Anolis sagrei: one gene and its partner. The protein of the gene in region 1 purifies or fractionates together with the protein of each later gene. This does not show direct contact. Links are inferred from orthologs where the notes say so. Each region holds a gene or a part of one and is shown in the gene's direction. Other genes may lie near its edges.

The links. The genes of interacting proteins can lie anywhere in the genome.
Region 2: the proteins of RIPK1 (region 1) and CYLD purify together in Homo sapiens (affinity purification with western blotting; 5 studies listed by BioGRID). This does not show direct contact. The link is inferred for Anolis sagrei from reciprocal best matches to the Homo sapiens genes RIPK1 and CYLD.

What each region holds. Positions count from the first base shown.
Region 1 is NC_090024.1:87,468,570-87,472,321, reverse strand, and holds the start of RIPK1 (receptor-interacting serine/threonine-protein kinase 1), read left to right. Parts: upstream 1-957; 5' UTR 958-1,119; intron 1,120-3,752. UniProt on the Homo sapiens protein: Serine-threonine kinase which is a key regulator of TNF-mediated apoptosis, necroptosis and inflammatory pathways.
Region 2 is NC_090028.1:32,385,687-32,389,438, forward strand, and holds the start of CYLD (ubiquitin carboxyl-terminal hydrolase CYLD), read left to right. Parts: upstream 1-1,008; 5' UTR 1,009-1,104; intron 1,105-3,752. UniProt on the Homo sapiens protein: Deubiquitinase that specifically cleaves 'Lys-63'- and linear 'Met-1'-linked polyubiquitin chains and is involved in NF-kappa-B activation and TNF-alpha-induced necroptosis.

The sequences.
Region 1 (3,752 bases):
TCCACAGTGCTCTCTGGGTGTAGGTGAACTACAGCTCCAAAACTGAAGATCAATGCCCACCAAACCCTTCTAGTGTTTTCTGTTGGTCATGGAAGTCCTGTGTGCCAAGTTTGGTTCAATTCCATTGTTGGTGGAGTTCAGAATGCTCTTTGATTGTAGATTGCAGACACCCTGTGATAATGCGGCATGTCTCATTAAGAGCCACATCTACTGTTTTAGTGTGGTGAGATGTGTTCCACACTGGGCATGCATACTCAGCAGCAGAGTAGCATAGCGCAAGGGCAGATGTCTTCACTGTGTCTGGTTGTGATCCCCAGGTTGTGCCAGTCAGCTTTCGTATGATGTTTCTAGCACCCACTTTTTGTTTGATGTTCAGGCAGTGCTTCTTGTATGTCAGAGCACGGTCCAAAGTGACTCCCAAGTATTTGGGTGTGTTGCAATGCTCCAGTGGGATTCCTTCCCAGGTAATCCTCAGAGCTCGGGATGCTCAGATCTGGGCTCAGAGCCTTGGATCCAGGGGTGTGTAGAAGGGGCCAGAGCGGTGCCAAAACTGCATTATTTCTTCAGTGGAGATGCACATAACAAAACAGTGATCAATAGCGACATATAAACAGTTTTAAAATGGCTGGGCCAAATGTAATAGATTAAAATTGAAAAATATGCTGACGTGAACAGGCCTTCCTTGAAAGATTTGGGGGGCATCTACACTGCAGAATGATTGCAGGTTGACCCCACTTGGTATAAAATCCTGGGTGTTGCAGTTTTGATCTGTACTTGGTAAAACTACAACTCCCTCGGTCCCAAGCAGTTCAAGTGATGCCAAGCGACATTACTTCTGCAGTGTGGGTGCAGCCTGTCTGGGTCACTGAAGCCCAGCCTTTTCTGGAAGAAAAAAAAGGAAAAGGAAAAGGAAAAGTTGGCCTGGAAGGGGCGGGAGGATAGGCTGGGAAGTGCCCCGCGTGCTCTTTGGTCACGGCGAAACTCCTCCCCGAGAAAACTTCCGCGAAAGAGGAAGCAAGAGGGGAGCCATCCAGGCGCGCCTCCTTCTTGGAAGGAAGAAGGATCAGAGATCTGTAGGATCGCCTTCCCTCGAAGGGCACAAAAGAGGGCGAAGAGAAGGTAAAGGGCCCAACGGGGCTGCTGCTGCTCCCTCTTCTCCTCTTCCCCTCCCTATTTCTGGAGAAAGTGGCGCCCCAAGGCGCTTCCAAGGCAACTTCCCTTAAAGGACCGACGAGGAAGTGTCCCTTTTCACTGACTAGACCGAGGGCGACCCTATAGCAGAGTCTTGGGTTGGTTGTGGGTGACTTCCTCCTTGAGTTGGTGTTTAGGGCCCAGACGGAGAGGGAGGAGGAAGAGGCGCCCTCGAAAATGAAACTAAGTTGCTTAAGTCGAGTTTCTGCTTCCCTTTTGGTACATCCTTCCAATGTTGGAGGCATCACTTGCATTGGGGGGCCCTGGGTTGCTTCACCCCCACCCAAAAAACAGATCTTGCCAAGGACATCTAGTGCAGTGGTTGTCAACCTGTGGGTCCCCAAGTGTTTTCGCCTACAACTCCCAGAAATCCCAGCCAGTTTACCAGCTGTTAGGATTTCTGGGAGTTGAAGGCCAAAACAAGTTGAGAACCACTGATCTAGTGGGTGCACCTGCATTGTAGGCTCAATACAGTGACACCGCTTCAGCTGCCATGGTTCAATGCTGTGGAGACCTGGGAGGTGCTGTAGTTTGGCCTTCTTTGCCAAAGAGAACAGCAAATCCCAGGATCCTATAGCATTGAGCCAAAGCAGTTAAAGTGGTGCCGATGAAGACGATGCACCTCAGGATAGGGTTGACAGAAGTTATTTATTTATCGTGTCATCAGCAACCAGACATTTGTATTACATTTTTAACAAAACAAACAAACAGACAAAACACAAAGTTTGCAAGCTTGGTAGTTGATTAAATGTCCTTTGACCAGTATCTGGCTACTTGGAGTGCCTCTGGTGTTGCTGCAAGGAGGTCCTCCATTGTGCATGTGGCAGGGCTCAGGTTGCATTGCAGTAGGTGGTCCATGGTTTGCTCTTCTCCACACTCGCATGTCGTGGATTCCACTTTGTAGCCCCATTTCTTGAGGTTGGCTCTGCATCTTGCGATGCCAGAGCGCAGTCTGTTCAGCACCTTCCAAGTCGCCCAGTTTTCTGTGTGCCCAGGGGGAAGTCTCTCATTTGATATCACCCATGGATTGAGGTGCTGGGTTTGAGCCTGCCACTTTTGGACTCTCGCTTGCTGGGGTGTTCCAGTTAGTGTCTCTGTAGATCTTAGAAAACTATTTCTTGATTTAAGTCATTGACGTGCTGGCTGATACCCAAACAAGGGATAGGCTGGAGATGTCACTGCCTTGGTCCTTTCACTATTGGCTGCTACTTCCCGGCGGATGTCAGGTGGTGTAATTTCTCCAGTGGTGTAGGGTGCAGACACCTCGTGATAATGCGGCATGTCTCATTAAGAGCCACATCCACTGTTTTAGCGTGGTGAGATGTGTTCCACACTGGGCATGCATACTCAGCAGCAGAGTAGCATAGCGCAAGGGCAGATGTCTTCACTGTGTCTGGTTGTGATCCCCAGGTTGTGCCAGTCAGCTTTCGTATGATATTGTTTTGTAGCACCCACTTTTTGCTTGATGTTCAGGCAGTGCTTCTTGTAGGTAAGAGCACGGTCCAGAGTGACTCCCAGGTATTTGGGTGCGCTGCAGTGCTCCAGTGGGATTCCTTCCCAGGTGATCCTCAGAGCTCGGGATGCTTGTTTGTTCTTAAGGTGAAAGGCACATGCCTGTGTTTTAGATGGATTAGGAATCAGCAGGTTTTTCTCTGTAATAGGCAGTAAGAGTACCTAGAGCTTTGGAGAGCTTCTGTTCAACCGTCTCAAAGCTCCCTGCTTGAGCAGTGATGGCACAATCATCAGCATAGATGAAACTCTCTGTCCCTTCTGGCAGTGGCTGGTCATTTGTGTAAATGTTGAACATTGATGGAGCAAGCACGCTCCCCTGAGGCAGGCCGTTCTTCTGTTTCTTCCGCCATCTGCTTCTCTGGCTCTGGAACTCAACAAAAAAGCTCCTGATTTGTAGCAGGTTTTCTATGAGGCGTGGGAGGTGGTAGTCCTTTGTGATATTATACATTTTTCTTAGGAGGAGGCGGTGGTTTACAGTATCATAAGCTGCTGACAGGTCTATGAAGACAGCTCCTGAGATCTGCTGCATTTCAAAGCCATCTTCTATGTACTGAATCAGGTTCAGTACTTGTGACGTGCAGCTCTTGCCTTTCCTGAAGCCAGCTTTCTGTGGAATCATACATGGGTCTATTTTTTTCCATAATTCTATGCAAAATAAGTCTCTCCATGGAGTGCTGGGAGTTTTAGTTTGGCTTTCTTTGCAAAAAAGAAGGTCTGGTGCCTCACCAAATCCCAGCATCCCATAGCATTGAGCCAAAGCAGTTAAAGGGGTGTCGAGCTGCATTCATTCTACAATGGAGATGATGCACCCCATAATAGGGTTGGCAGAAGTTGAAAACCACTTTAAAAGGCACACAGCAACATAGCTGGCTGGCAGGAATGGAATGCTTAGGGAACCATCTAGTTGCCATGATGAGCCAGCAATGTTTTCCTTTAGATCAGTGGTTCTCAACCTTCCTAATTCCGTGGCCCCTTAATACAGTTCTTCAGGTTGTGATGACCTCCAACCATAAATAAAATTATTTTCATTGCTACTTCATAACTACAGT
Region 2 (3,752 bases), on another chromosome or scaffold:
GAACCCACCAGGACTTTGAGATCTTCCGGGGAGGCCCTGCTCTCGATCCCGCCTGCTTCTCAAGCACGGCTGGCGGGGACGAGAGATAGGGCCTTCTCGGTGGTGGCTCCTTGGCTGTGGAACGCCCTTCCCACAGACATTAGGCTGGCACCATCTCTAATGGTGTTCCGCAAGAAACTGAAGACCTGGCTATTTGTGCAGGCATTCGAATAACTAGTGCAATTGACTGGCAATGAACATAGGAATGGAACAATGGATGATGAATTTTGGATTATGTTTTTAGATGATGAGACGTTAGTGATTGGTTAATGTAGTAATTCTATTGTTGGATAATATGTTAATTGTTAATTGTTGTTACATTATTGCATTGAATTATTGCTGTTTTTACTGGTTGTGAACCGCTGTGAGTCGCCCTCGGGCTGAGAACAGTGGTATATAAGTAAAGTAAATAAATAAATAAATTATAATATCATGTTATTATTAGTAGTATTATATTGTATATTACATAATAATATTATCAAGTGTTGTGCTCTACCCCAAGCCCAATTGTTGTTGTTGTTATTGTTGCTGTTATTCCCTATGTTCACAGCCTGATGCCAATTGTAAACACAACCTTTGAACAGCTGCCCTTTCCTCCAATTGGAACCCTCGCTCTACTTTCGCCCCGCCCTTTTTTCCTGCCACCACTCATCGGGAGACAAATGGGCGGGCCTAGCGAGGATTCGACGAATCAAACGCACGCATCGTTTGGTTCGCTAGGGGCGGGGCGAAAGAAGGCCGGCCTTCTTTTTTTAGCCAATCACCAGACGGCAACTCACCCCGTCAGCCAATCAGACGCCTCCTCTCGTTCCCCTTTTCGTGTGTGAGTGTGGACAGCTGCTCCAACCAAGCCTGACTGCAGAAGGGTGGAGGGGCGGGGCTTGGAAATTCCCTCAGCTTGGCGCGGGACCAATAGGAGGGAGGCAGAGGGACCACGGCGTGACGCTATTGGGTACGTTAGGAGGCAAGGGGCGGGACGGAGAGCTCGGCGTGTGGCAGCGAAGTAGTATGCGCCTCTGTGGGGATGAGGCGAAGGAGGCGGCAGACGCACGAAGGAAGCGGAGGGTAATGGCTGTAGATGTATTCTGGCTTTAAGAGATGTAGTTTAGTCTTGATGGTCTATATATATATGTAATATATCTTATAGTATATTAAACCAACCTTTGGGTAGCTTTAATTTATGCAATTCCTTCAGAATAGACATTTTAACATTGCATTTTATTCCCCTCAGTTTATATATGTTATTGTTATATGTTATTATTATTATATAATACATAATGAATGGTACAGTATATCATAGCAACCTCTGAATGGCTTTAATATGTGTAATTCCTTAATAATAGACGTTTTATCCATTATAGTTGCTTTAATATATGTCATTTCTATAAAATAATGTGTATTTTAATATTATATTATATGTCATACTTATTGTATATTAAAGCAAAGGATAAGTTGGTTAAATATGTGTCATTTCTTTAAAATAGATAGTTTATTCATCACAGTTGCTTTAATATGTGTCATTTCTTTAAAATAATGTGTATTTTAATATTATATTATATATCCTACTTATTGTATGTTAAAGCAAAGGATAAGTTGCTTAAATATGTGTAATTTCTTAAAAATAAGTAGTTTATTCATCACAGTTGCTTTAATATATGTAATTTCTATAAAATAATTTGTATTTTAATATTATATTATATATCCTACTTATTGTATGTTAAAGCAAAGGTTTTAAGTTGCTTAAATATGTGCAATTTCTTAAAAATAATGTGTATTTTAATATTATATGTCATACTTATTGTATATTAAAGCAAAGCATAAGTTGGTTAAATATGAGCCATTTCTTAAAAATAGATAGTTTATATTGTCTTTTATTCATCACAGTTGCTTTAATATATGTCATTACTTAAAAATAATTTGTATTTTAATATTATATTATATATCATACTTATTGTATATTAAAGCAAAGGATAAGTTGGTTAAATATGTGTCATTTCTTAAAAATAGATAGTTTATTCATCATAGTTGCTTTAATATATGTAATTTCTATAAAATAATGTGTATTTTAATATTATATATCCTACTTATTGTATGTTAAAGCAAAGTATAAGTTGGTTAAATATGTGCAATTTCTTAAAAATAATGTGTATTTTAATATTATATTATATTATATGTCATACTTATTGTATGTTAAAGCAAAGGATAAGTTGCTTAAATATGTCTAATTTCTTAAAAATAGATGGTTTATATTGTCTTTTATTCACCACAGTTGCTTTAATATATGCCATTTCTATGAAATAATTTGTATTTTAATATTATATTATATATCATACTTATTGTATATTAAAGCAAAGGATAGGTTGCTTAAATATGTGTAATTTCTTAATAATAAGTAGTTTATTCTTCACAGTTTCTTTAATATATGTCATTTCTTTAAAATAATGTGTATTTTAATATTATATTATATATCATACTTATTGTATATTAAAGCAAAGGATAAGTTGGTTAAATATGTGTAATTTCTTAATAATAAGTAGTTTATCCATCACAGTTGCTTTAATATATGTAATTTCTTTAAAATAATGTGTATTTTAATATTATATTACATATCATACTTATTGTATGTTAAAGCAAAGGATAAGTTGCTTAAATATGTGCAATTTTTAAAAAATAGATAGTTTATATTGTCTTTTATTCATCACAGTTGCTTTAACATATGTAATTTCTATAAAATAATTTGTATTTTAATATTATATTATATATCATACTTACTGTATGTTAAAGTAAAGGATAGGTTGCTTAAATATGTGCAATTTCTTAAAAATAATGTGTATTTTAATATTATAATACATATCATACCTATTGTATGTTAAAGCAAAGGATAAGTTGGTTAAATATGTGCAATTTCTTAAAAATAGATAGTTTATATAGTCTTTTATTCATCACAGTTGCTTTAATATATGTAATTTCTTAAAAATAATGTGTATTTTAATATTATATTATATATCCTACTTATTGTATATTAAAGCAAAGGATAGGTTGCATAAATATGTGTCATTTCTATAAAATAGATAGTTTATATTGTCTTTTATTCATCACAGTTGCTTTAATATATGTCATTTCTTTAAAATGATGTATATTATAATCTTATAATATAATATGATATAATCTTATAATGTATAGTAATATATATATAATACTAGCCGTCCCCTGCCATGCGTTGCTGTGGCCCAGTTTGCGTGTGTATATCTGTGTGTGTGTGTGTGTGTATATATATATATATGTGTGTGTGTGTGTATTTGTGTATATATGTGTGCTTGCGTACATATATGTAGTTTTGCACATGCATTGTAATGTGTGTATATATTTGTGTATATGTATATATATATTTTTAATTTCATTTACTTATACCCCGCCCTTCTCACCCCGGGGGGGACTCATATGTGTGTTTGTGTGTGTATATGTGTATATATTTGAGTATTTTTGTGTTTATGTGTGTGTGTATATATGTGTGTGTTTGTGTCTATGTATGTGTGCTTGTGTATATGTGTATGAACACATATGAAACCCCCAAAATAAACCAAAATATATGGTTTATTTTGGGGGTTTCAAAGCCCGTTCGAATGGTTTTTTGTGTGTGGTTTAGGGGTGATGGACACTCGTTGGCCTGATAGGTCCAAATTTGCAGTCAATTCGTCCAGTGGTTTTTTTAG